3 linked regions of the Macaca mulatta genome follow. The protein of the gene in region 1 interacts with the protein of each later gene in a pairwise test. Links are inferred from orthologs where the notes say so. Each region holds a gene or a part of one and is shown on either strand. Other genes may lie near its edges. The genes, in order: KLHL40, TASOR2 and SPMIP4.

The links.
Region 2: the proteins of KLHL40 (region 1) and TASOR2 interact in binary tests that used the Homo sapiens proteins (3 or more experiments, as listed by UniProt). The two-hybrid records come from large-scale screens. The link is inferred for Macaca mulatta from reciprocal best matches to the Homo sapiens genes KLHL40 and TASOR2.
Region 3: the proteins of KLHL40 (region 1) and SPMIP4 interact in a two-hybrid assay, tested with the Homo sapiens proteins (2 studies listed by BioGRID and IntAct). The two-hybrid records come from large-scale screens. The link is inferred for Macaca mulatta from reciprocal best matches to the Homo sapiens genes KLHL40 and SPMIP4.

What each region holds. Positions count from the first base shown.
Region 1 is NC_133407.1:106,032,975-106,037,357, forward strand, and holds the start of KLHL40 (kelch-like protein 40), read left to right. Parts: upstream 1-1,451; 5' UTR 1,452-2,759; coding exon 2,760-3,911; intron 3,912-4,383. UniProt on the Homo sapiens protein: Substrate-specific adapter of a BCR (BTB-CUL3-RBX1) E3 ubiquitin ligase complex that acts as a key regulator of skeletal muscle development.
Region 2 is NC_133414.1:7,296,368-7,300,014, forward strand, and holds part of TASOR2 (protein TASOR 2), read left to right. Parts: intron 1-3,178; coding exon 3,179-3,647.
Region 3 is NC_133408.1:103,201,823-103,205,895, forward strand, and holds the start of SPMIP4 (sperm-associated microtubule inner protein 4), read left to right. Parts: upstream 1-1,239; 5' UTR 1,240-1,624; intron 1,625-2,254; 5' UTR 2,255-2,278; coding exon 2,279-2,412; intron 2,413-4,073. UniProt on the Homo sapiens protein: Microtubule inner protein (MIP) part of the dynein-decorated doublet microtubules (DMTs) in flagellum axoneme. May serve to reinforce and thus stabilize the microtubule structure in the sperm flagella.

The sequences.
Region 1 (4,383 bases):
CCAGGCACTGTCTTGCCTCAGGACCTTTGCTCCAGCTGTTCCCCTACCGGGAATCCTCCACAGTTTGACCCCTCTCACATGTGATCCTCTCGGTGAGTCCATCCTGACTACTCCATTTAAAATCGTTATCACCTCCTCCTGCCACTTCCCATGCGCCTTCCGTTTCACTTGTCTCCACAGCCACGACTATCATCTGATGCCCCGTATAACTGTTTATTTATTTCTGTCTCCCCTACCAACCTTGCCCCGACCCCCTGACGAATGTAAGCTCCATGAAGACACGAATTCCTGCCTGATTTGCTCACTGCTGACTCTTCAGCATTTAAAGCAGTGTACGGTTGGTTCTTGAATGAATGAGCCACATACACATGTTCTACTGGAATGCCTGGTAGGGAGTGAGCACTATGGAATCCATCATAGTCTAAAAATATTTCATTAAGTCATTTGATAAATCTAAGTTAATTGTTCAGTCAGTGTCTTCTGTCCTGATCTTTGAAAATGAGACTACAATTGATGAACATTTTTGTTAATTCTTGGGAGGCAGCAAGGTAGGAAAGGGTTCCCACAGTCTTTGGAGGAGGGCAGATCAGCTTCAAATCCTAGTGCAGCCCATGTCCGCTGTGTGACTTGGCCAAGGTGCCTAGCCTCTCAAGCCTGGTCTCCTCACTGCCTGTGCTTGCTAGCAATGCCCTGCAGTCCAGGGCTGGGCTGGAATCTCACCACCTGCCCTCCCTGAGTGAGCCTTTGCCTTTTTATCAAGAGGGACTGGACCACCTCCAGAGCTTGCCCAGGTGCTGTGTCCCTCTGAGACCTGCTGGTGGGGTGAGCAAGTGACAGTCAGATGCACCGTTTAAGAGGGACAGAGGCTGGGTGCAGTGGCTCACACCTGTAATCCCAGCACTTTGGGAGGCCGAGGCGGGAGGATCACCTGAGGTCGGAATTTCGAGACCAGCCTGGACAACATGGTGAAACCCCGTCTATACAAAAAATGCAAAAAAATAGAAATAAAAATAAAAAATTAGCCGGGAGTGGTGGTGGGTACCTCTATCTAATACCAGCTACTAGGAAGACTCAGGCAGGAGAATTGCTTGAACCCCAGAGGCGGAGGTTGCAGTGAGCTGAGATCGCGCCATTGCACTCCAGCCTGGGCAACAAGAGCAAAATTCCGTCTAAAAAAAAAGGACTGAGAGTGATATTGCTGAGATCACAAAAGGGAGGTGACTCAGTCCTAGCCCAGCCTGCTGTCATCTCTCCTATACCCACCCCCCTCCCCCACTCCCCCGCCTGACGTTATAAACAAGTGACTCAGAGGAATGATGGGGGTGTGCCTCGTAACAGTTCATCCCAGTGTCCTGGGGGCTAAATTTAACACACAGCTGCAGCCTCTGGCACTTTGGGAACAAGTTAATCTTGGTGACTGAGGCTGATGTGTATGTGCGAGCGCATGTGTCTGGCAGTGGGGCGGGGTGGGGAGGGTGTGGGGAGGTGGGTCAGGAGTCCTGAACAAGGTAGGCATCAAGACTGACTGTCCTGGGCTTCAACCCTGGTCCCTCAGACCATAGACAAGGTGCAGGGGCCCCGTGGCCAGGCAGGCTCAGGTCTAGCCTAATATGCACCAAGAATAGTGAGTATAGACAGCTAAAGTCCTGAAATATTAAACCTGTAGTGTTACTTTTTGAACACTAGAATTCAGAATGTCACTCCCCTACAATGTTAAAACCCTGGGGGTTTAAAAACCTAGAATAGTAGAATCCTAAGAAATTAATTTTCTAGCACATCTGACACCTTAGAAGTGTTAAAACCCTCTAATAGTGTACTTCCAGGACACAGTACCTTGGTGCTTCTGAACCTCCAGCAGAGCTGAACTGAGGCCCTTAGTATCTAACTTTGCCACCTCCTCATTGTGTAGGAAGGGAAACTGAGGCTTAACAGAGCGACATGTCCTGTCCCAGGCCTCATAGGAAAGTGGCAACCTTGTTTACCTAAGGTACTTTCTTGCTTTCTTGCAAGGAGGAGGGGCAGAAAGAGGAAAAGCTCTTCCCATTTTAAAGGTGAGGCAATGCGGGGTGGGGGGTGTCTTATGTATGTAATCTCAGCTACTAGGGAGGCTGAGGCAGAAGGATGGCTTGAGCCCAGGAGTTCAAGACCAGCCTGGGCAATATAGTGAGACCTTGCCTCTTAAAATAAAGGCAGGGCAACAGGGCTGCCAAAAAGTGAACACCATGTCCAAGTTCTGACCAGAAAACCCAAGGACCCTGTATCCGGGGATGGCTGGAATGAGACATATTCCGAGGAGGAAGATGGAGGCACCAGGACAGATGTTCCCAGAAAGCATGAAGGAAGGGAGACCCTGGAAGAGGGGCTCCAATGCTTCCCCGTCTCTGGACTGAGGGTCAGAACTTAGGCCATCAACTCTCCTAGGGGCATCTTCGGACCAAAAAATCCAGAGTCAAGGCCTCTCCGTGCTCCATTTAGAAATGAGGCAGCCAGGCCCTCATCTTTCAGAAGGGCCCAGACACCCTACCTCCGTCCCATAAGCCCCTGGGGCTGAGTCAAGGCTTCTCCGGGAGGGGGCCTCTGCCCAGCTGTCCCCTGTGCGTCATGTGCAGGAGGCCAGGCGGCTCGCCTTACAGGGACCCGGCCACCTCTATATATAGCCCCTAGAAGACAGCTGCGCAGTCTAAGCAAGCCGCAGCAGGAAAGCAGGGGTACAGAGAGGAGCCCCCTTGGCACCGCCACCACACCCTAGGCCACCCATCATGGCGCTGGGCTTGGAGCAGGCGGAGGAGCAGCGGTTGTACCAGCAGACGCTGCTGCAAGACGGTCTCAAGGACATGCTGGACCATGGCAAGTTCCTCGACTGTGTGGTGCGGGCGGGCGAGCGCGAGTTCCCGTGCCATCGCCTGGTGCTGGCCGCCTGCAGCCCCTACTTCCGGGCGCGCTTCCTAGCCGAGCCGGAGCGCGCGGGCGAGCTGCACCTGGAGGAGGTGTCCCCAGACGTGGTGGCCCAGGTGCTGCACTACCTGTACACGTCAGAGATCGCGCTGGACGAGGCGAGCGTGCAGGATTTGTTCGCCGCGGCGCACCGCTTCCAGATCCCTTCCATCTTCACCATCTGCGTGTCCTTCCTGCAGAAGCGCCTGTGCCTCTCCAACTGCCTGGCCGTCTTCCGTCTTGGCCTCCTGCTCGACTGCGCGCGTCTCGCCGTGGCTGCCCGAGACTTCATCTGCGCTCACTTCTCGCTGGTGGCGCGCGACGCTGACTTCCTCGGACTCTCGGCCGATGAGCTCATCGCCATCATCTCTAGTGACGGCCTTAACGTGGAGAAGGAGGAGGCGGTGTTCGAGGCCGTGATGCGGTGGGCTGGCAGCGGCGACGCCGAGGCGCAGGCTGAGCGCCAGCGCGCGCTGCCCACCGTCTTCGAGAGCGTGCGCTGCCGCTTGCTGCCGCGCGCCTTTCTAGAGAGCCGCGTGGAGCGCCACCCTCTCGTGCGTGCCCAGCCCGAGTTGCTGCGCAAGGTGCAGATGGTGAAGGATGCACACGAGGGCCGCATCACCACGCTGCGGAAGAAAAAGAAGGGCAAAGACGCAGCCGGGGTCAAGGAGGCTGATAAGGGCACAGGCGAAGCCAAAGCAGAGGAGGATGAGGAGGCCGAACGTATCCTTCCTGGGATCCTCAATGACACCCTGCGCTTCGGCATGTTCCTGCAGGACCTCATCTTTATGATCAGTGAGGAGGGCGCTGTGGCCTACGATCCAGCAGCCAACGAGTGCTACTGTGCCTCCCTCTCCAACCAGGTCCCCAAGAACCACGTCAGCCTGGTTACCAAGGAGAACCAGGTCTTTGTGGCTGGAGGCCTCTTCTACAACGAAGACAACAAAGAAGACCCCATGAGCGCATACTTCCTGCAGGTGCCTGACCAGCCTTGGGAGCTGCCAGCTAATGCTGGGCTCTGGGCACTGGGGGCAGTCTTGGGGCCCAGGAGGGGCTTGTGTCTACACAAGGAAATGCCACTGGGTCTAGGGTGAGATGTAGACTGGGGCGGTTGACTGATAGCCACCTGCTTGAAGGTTGAAGACAGTCAATAGGCAACTGCCAAAAAGCAGCATAACTCTGGTATCTCAATTTCAGGGGTGAGGTAGCCCCAAGTTGGCGTATGTTGGAGGCCCTGGCCCTGCACAGAGGTTGGGGTGGGGCACAGTGAGGAGGAGCAAGGTCTGTGTAAGGATCCTGGGCAGGGCCTCTTGGTGAAGGCCAGGCCTGGAGCTCGCAGCAGTGTCCCAGACAAAGGAACAATCCTGTCTGGTCCTCCCATTGTACAGATGAGGAAACTGAGGCCCAGAAGGGATCAGCAGAGTGGAGTGCCAGGTCTGAGTTGGGGTG
Region 2 (3,647 bases), on another chromosome or scaffold:
GAGAGAGACAGGGTTTCACCATGTTGCCTAGGCTGGTCTTGAACTCCTGAGCTCAAGTGATCTGCCTGCCTCCGCCTCCGAAAGTGTTAGGATTACAGGCATGAGCTACCATGCCCAGCTGAGAATCCTATATTTGGTTTTAAAAGGCATTAATTTTAAAAGTAGTTTTACTGATTTAACTTTGCTTAAGTGAAGAATCAAGTTTAGTCACATGAACTGCTCTAGTTTTGTATTTTCAACCTCTGTACATAACGTCTGTACTAGAAAGTTTTGTTGTCACCTTAGTGAGACACATACCAGCTTTCCTCCCGGATTTACTTTCCTTAATTTTTCTTCCCTTTGGTATTGATTCGTTTGTGGTGTGCGTGTTATTTTTTTGTTTTGTTTAACAAAGAGACGTCATTCCCTCATATCTTTTCTATGAGTTTTCTGTCTGGTTTTCCTGATTCTACTTTCTCCCTCATCTGTTACTAGATTTTAGTATCTCACAGAGAATGAGAATTCAGAGAAAGAAAGTGGATTGTTGAGTTTTTTGGTTTTTTTTTTGAAATGAAATCTTGCTCTGTCGCCAGGCTGGAGCGCAGTGGCACAATCTCTGCTCACTGCAACCTCTGCCCCCGGGTTCAAGGAATTCTCCTGCCTCAGCCTCCCTAGTAGCTGGGACTACAGGTGCATGCCACCACACCTGGCTAATTTTTGTATTCTTAGTAGAGATGGGGTTTCATCATTTTAGCCAGGATAGTCTCGACCTTTTGACCTCATGATCTGCCTGCCTTGGCCTCCCAAAGTGCTGGGATTACAGGTGTGAGCCACTGCATCCAGCCAGGTTTGTTTTGTTTGTTTGTTTAACTTAAGCATACCCTGAGATTCTTTAAGGTTTTTCAGATTGTTTTGTGACTGAAGATTTTTTTAGAAGCTCATCATGTCATTCAAAAACCCATATGCTGCAATTTTGGCTTCCATACCAAATTTGAGCTCTTCTGCTTGTCTCTCTTGGGAGTTTATGGTGCGGCTGCACCCCACCTCTCTGTGTTGCGCCCCTGCTGTTGCCACCATGCTTCTTCCCCTGTGGGCCATATGTGCCTCCCCCACGCATGCTTTGCCCGTCAGGGGCTCACAGCTAGAATTTATCCCCACAGGGAGGCATTTTCTCATGTTCTGACTCTCACTAATCTCTCATTTCTTTGGGATATTTGAGAACATTATATAATTTAATTCATACTATTTTCAAGTCATTTGACGTATCTTGGTCCAGTCTTTCCAATTTGTAAACATTATGAGAATAGATAACATCTTGTGTTCCTAGCAGCGTCATTTGAATTCGTTGTACTGAATTGGCTTCAGATGTTTATTGACAAATTGATTAATGGGAGGAGGTATGTAATTGCATACTGGCAGAAAAGTGAGCCCAGAAAATTTAAAGTTTTCAAAATATGTGTTCAAATACAGGCTGATTTGTATTGCAAATGTCTCTATGTATTATGGAGCCACATTCCAAGTTAACATTTTTAAATGACTACGTTTAAATCTCTTAATTTTTTTCTTAAGCGCCTATGTTAATCATTTTACTTCCTATACTTGAAATATCAAAGTTTAAGAAGGTAGATGAACCATAGCCACATTGACCTCAGTTTGAAAATTACTGATTTAAATTAGAATCAAATGATAATTTTGAAGTCAAACAAACAGTCCTTTTGTTAATGAAACTTGATTTTCTGTCCTTTTTATTCACTAAACTTTTTTTTAGTGTAGTTCCTTTGGCATTGTCTTATGTATGTCTTAAATAGAAATTATTGGTGGTGTATTTTTTTTATTGAGAACCTGTAACACGTCAATAATTGGGTGATTTATGTGAGACTGTAATATATTAAACTACCATTTTTCTTTATTTTAATACAGTATCTTTTATATTAGGCCTTACTCATAAGTAGTGGTTTGTGTAAGGGATAAGTAGATGGAGGCCATAATAACAAAGATAGAATGAAATTAGCATCAGATCACAAAATTAATTTTATGTTTCCAGTATACCTTTGGGGCTAACAAGACAATTATCTGCTTTGGGTCCTTTTCATCCACCTGTCCCCTTTGGGTTTGCTGTTTTAAATGAAAACTGGGCAGTGGTTGATTAGCTTAACCCTTTCCCCATGTATGTGCATGCCTTTCTCTTTCTAATTGGTGACATCATAGGCTGGAGCTTTCTTCTCTTTAAATGTGTTACTCATTGGCCTTGGCTGGCAGGTTGTTAACTCATTTTGGGCCTGCTACTATGATAAAGAGGAACACAGTTGGCTTTTCTGTTCACCTATCTACCTGCAGCAGAGAATCATTGCCTAGTAGAGTTGTGAAGTTTATCCTTCATAATAACAGCATTTAGGAAGGAATAATTAATATATTGAAAATACCTAGGGAAACCACTAGCAAATGTAAATATTCTGATTAAGGGCATATGGATAGATTTGATTATCTATAAAAAGGAACATTGTCAGTAGATTTGCTCTTTCTTGGATAATGTAAGAGGCAATGTTTTTGGTAATGAAAGTAAAAGTTTAAAAGGTAATGGAATTAATTGATGATTCTGAATACTCATGACTTTTCTAATTTTTTATTTCTATCACATCATGTAATTAAAGATCAATGTAGTTAAAATCATTTGAACTTAGTTTCTCTAATAAATCATTTGTTCAGGGAAATGATTCCTGAGAAAGTATGTTAGCAAACTCTAATACACACTTGAAACTTCTATGTTCCTGTCCTTAATTAGATTGTAAGCTCCCCAAGGGCAGGACTGTCATCTTTTTTTTGTTTTGTTTTTTTCTGTTTGTACATTTTTTGAGCTGAGCTGTATGTCTTGTGTGTAGATCAGTTCATATGTTTTTGAAAGGTAATTTCTTTCTAAATTAATGTACACATTCCTTAAGACTTGTCCCTCTGGTTTAACACATTATAATCTGAGGGTTGAAAGAGACCTTAATCTAACAGAAAATTTTAATATGCTGTGTATTACAGGTTTTACCTGAGGGTTGGAAGAGACCTTAATCTAATAGAAAATTTTAATATGCAATATATGTAACATAAGTTTTTCTCAAACATGTTGAGTTAACCATCATAGTAATATGGCAGAGAATTAATTCTATAACAAGCAAACATATCTCTCTTTTTTTTTTCTTTTATACTGAAGTCAAAGGAGAAACTGCTTCAAAGCTTCAATCAGAAATTTCAAGAGATGGTCAAGAAGATGGGATTAGCATAAATAGCGTTCAACCAGAAAATAGCACAGTGGCTCACAATGATCTTCCTGAAAACTCCATTGTCAACTATGACTCCCAGGCCCTAAATATGTTGGCCGATCTAGCATTAAGCTCTGCTACTTCTTCCACACCGGTACCTGAGCCTAGAAATCTTCACTGTTCCTCTGAATTGCCACAAAATGATGTTTTGCTCTCTAAAGAAAATTCTTTGCGAGGTACATCTGACCATGAATATCACAGAGGAGTTAAAAGTCAAAAAGGTGAATTACTTCCTAACCCATCTTCTGATAGGAAGAGTAATTCTGAGTCAGACTTAATTGTTAGCCAAGATGAAGAAAGCTTGGTTCCGTGTAGTCAGGCCCCTGCTAAAGCCCAGTCAGCACTTACTGAGGAAATGCT
Region 3 (4,073 bases), on another chromosome or scaffold:
GATGGCCTTATAGGTTCCAATGGATTTCAGCCAGTTTTATTAACCTACAAGCCCAGGCATTTCAGCATTTCAGCAATTTGTTTATTTTATCTGCCATCCTGTAAACTCAAGAATTTCTATGACTGTTTTCTTTAACTCTTTGGCACACAGTTTCAACACCCTTCTTCTCAGAGGTTGTCATTCTCACCCTCACCTTCTGGTTCTTGCAGGCTCAGTTCTAGCCTCCCACATTGTATTAGTTTTTTCTCACAATGCTATAAAGAACTGCCCAAGACTGGGTAATTTATAAAGGAAAGAGGTTTAGTTGACTCACAATCTCACGTGACTGGGGAGGCCTCAGGAAACTTACAATCATGGCAGAAGGCCAAGGAGAAGCAGTCACCTTCTTCACAAGGCGGCAGAAAGGAGAAGTGCTAAGAGAAGGGGAAAGAGCACCTTATAAAACCATCAGATCTCGTGAGAATTCACTCACTATTGCGAGAACAACATGGGGGAAGCTGCCCCCATGATCCAATTACTTCCACCTGGTCTCTCCTTTGACATGCGGGGATTATGGGGATTACAATTCAAGATGAGATTTGGGTAGGGACACAAAGCCTTACCATATCACACATATCATACATAGAGCCTAACCTCCCCACATCCCATTCCTTGATGGGGTGTGGGGGGCAAGTGGGGAGGGGGGTGACATCCCTGTTCTCAGCCATCACAGGAAGTCATGACCCTGTAGGTGCAGAGACGTGGCTCACATTTGTATCTTTTGGGGAAAACTGAGATAATCAAGGTGGGGCTAGGGTCTGGGGACGAGGCAAGTAAAGGACTTTGCCACGTCCGCACCCACCAGGCAAGGAGCAGAGGCTCTGTTAGGGCGCCATGCCAGGGGCTGCAGTTTCAAAATCCTGCAGACTCCACCCTCGATCTGGCCGCACTGTCCTCAATCCTGCGAGGTGACCTGGGGAGGGAGGACAGGTCGCATGCTCCGACCTCACCGGGGACTCCACTGGACCGGAGTTCTTCCTCCGCCCAGTCCACATGAGAACACTCCGTGGCCGCCGGGAGACAGCTTCAGACCTGGAAGCCCTGGAAAAATAAACTGATATCGCCATCGCCGCTGCCGCTAGAGGGCGCCTGGGGGCGAGGCGCGGGTGGGGCCAGGCGGTGTCCTACAGGAGGCAGGGCGGCGAGCCGAGAGGGGCGGGGCAAGGGACCGGGAGGCGGGGCCAGCGGCCGCAAGGCGGAAGAGACCCTCTCACCTCCGACACCGCGCCTCTCGCTGTCTTCACTGTCAGTACCTCTTCGCGTTCTTGCCAGTGCCGCATCGCTGGGCTGGCTGCCTCCGAGGTCTCTAAGAGCCGCCTACCGCGCCCCGCCCGCCACCCGGCAGCCCCCAGCCCCTCAAGGACGCATCACTTAGTGCCGCGGTCACGGCTACCGTCACAAGCGCCCCCCAGCCCCACCCTACCCCGGCCTGCCCGCCGTCCTTCTCCCGCCCCCGCCCCTGCCTGCCAGCTCCACCGGGCCGCAGGTGCGGACGACCTCAAAATTCCTCGGCCCGCGAAGGCCGCCAGCTGCAGGGAGCAGAGGGGAGGCGCGGTCCCGCAGCGCCCCCAGACTCATGTCCCAGGTGTGTCCAGACCCCCGAGGCACCGCTCGCAGGGCGATGACAGCCCGCGAGGCTCGGCCTCGGCCCCCGGCACCCTTGGTCCCAGCTACGCCGCCTCCTGGCCTTCCCCCAAGTCCGAGGGAGAGGTGGGATTCTCCCCGACGCAGTGGAAACCTGGAATCCCTTTTAGGGTCCCGTTCGTGCTGCACCCTTGACTCCACCATCTGCAAACGGATTCTTGTCCGGAATCCCCGAAGCCTTTAGGACAGCTCTTATTCTCTTGAATGAAGAGTCTCTAATTTTCGGAAAGACCACAGGCTAAAAGTCAACTGAGTTTTCTTGAATAGTTATAGTTAAATTTGAGGCAGGAATTGAATTTCAGTTGATAGCCACAAAGCGGACTGGTACGAACCTACTGGATGGTCATTGTGGTGACTACTTGGAGGCACCTTCCACTTTGTGGATTTGTTTCAGTTGAAATTCATTTCCATAGAACTTATTTAGGTCTTTATTACTGATTTGACCGCTTTCAGTGCAGAGGGAAGCCTGTGATTTCTGTGCAGCGTCAGGTTGAACAATTTAACAGTGTAAAATGTGTTTTCTGCCTGCCTTGAGTGGACAAGCCAAATGTCCCCTCCTTTACTTTTCCAGGTTGTGCCTTTTTAGCCAAGAAGCATGGAGGTCATTCACGGCAGGCCCTACTGTTGCAGGGAGCTTGAAGGAGCTGACATACTGTCCAACACCTTTTACTCTAATGAATTGCACACCCCCCTCCAAACGACTACTCGCCCAACTGCCTCAGAGGACAGGTAAAACAAAAACTAGAAAAAGCAAAAAAGAAAAAGCAGTTTTAATGTATTAGTGTATTTTATTATGTGATGAAAAACATGTATTGTTCTGGGGCTCTTCTGTTTTTTGTTTGTTTGATTTTGAGACGGAGTCTCACTCTTGTCACTCAGGCTGGAGTGCAGTGGTGTGATCTCGACTCACCCGGACCTCCGCCTCCCAGGTTGAAGTGATTCTCCTGCCTCACCTTCCAGCGTATCTGGGATTACAGGCATGCTCCACCATGCCCAGCTAATTTTTTTGCATTTCTAGTAGAGACAGGGTTTCACTATGTTGGCCAGGCTGGTCTCAAACTCCTGACCTCAAATGATCCACCCACCTCGGCCGCCCAAAGTGCTGGGATTACAGGCGTGACCACTGCACCGGGCTGGGGCTCTTCTGCTTATCATATCACAGGGAAGGCAAAACGTGGCAATTAACTGAACCGTCAAGTGTCTGTAAGGAACTCGAGAAGTAAGTGGCTGTGTACTATAAAAGCCAGACATCATATTCATCCACTACATTCTAAAATCGTAGAATGGCCCGTTCCTTCATTGGGAAATTAATATGTGGTAATCAAAGACTATTATAAAGAGTACTGTATTGGTTCCCTAACATGCCCTTCTACTGTCTAGAATTTGCTGCTTATAGTTGTGTAAATTTTTGCTTCACCAAATTCCCTGTAGCACATTAATTACACATTATGATTTAATTTATGAAAAGCAGTTTGGTGATTTCTCCAAGAACTCAAAACAGAGTTACCATTTGACCCAGCAATCCCATTATTGGATTCTAAGTTGTTCTTATACGTTGTTCTATCAAAGGAATATAAGTTGTTCTAACATAAAGACACAGGTATGTTCATCACAGCACTATTCACAATAGCAAAGATATGGAATCAGCCTAAATGCCCATCAATGGTTGACTGGATAAAGAAAATGTGGTACATATACACCATGGAATACTATGCAGCCATAAAAAATGAGATCATGTCCTTTGCAGCAACATGGATGGAGCTGGAGGCCGTTATTCTAAAGCAAACTAACACAGTAACAGAAAACCAAATGTCACCTATTCTCACTTATAAGTGGGAGCTAAACATTGAGTACACATGGAGACAAAGAAGGGAACCACAGACACCAAGGCCTACTTGAGGGTAGAGAGAGGGAGGAAGGCGAGGACCAGAAAACTACCTCTTGGGTACTGTGCTTATCACCTGGGTGACAAAATAATTTGTACACCCAACCACTGCAACGTGCAATTTACCCGTATAACAAACCTGCATATGTACCCCTGAACCTAGAAAAAAAGTTTTAAAAAAAAATTACAATGAAAAATATTGCACCTAACATATCTAATGATTACTATGTGTCAGCACTCTACCAAATGCTTTGTATGTAGTAATTCGTTTAATCCTCATGACAACCCTATGAGATAAGTACTACTGTTATCTGCATTTTACATATGAAATAACAGATACACACAAGGAGTTTGCCAAGATCTTAGTGTCAGCATTTCCTCTATTGTATTTACTTGAATCATTTTAAGGAAAGGAAAAGAAAAAAACACCTCAAAACACCTGGACAATGAAAAAATGACTGGTTGTCTGCTTGTTTTGTGGAGTTCTTTTCTTTCTTTTTTTTTT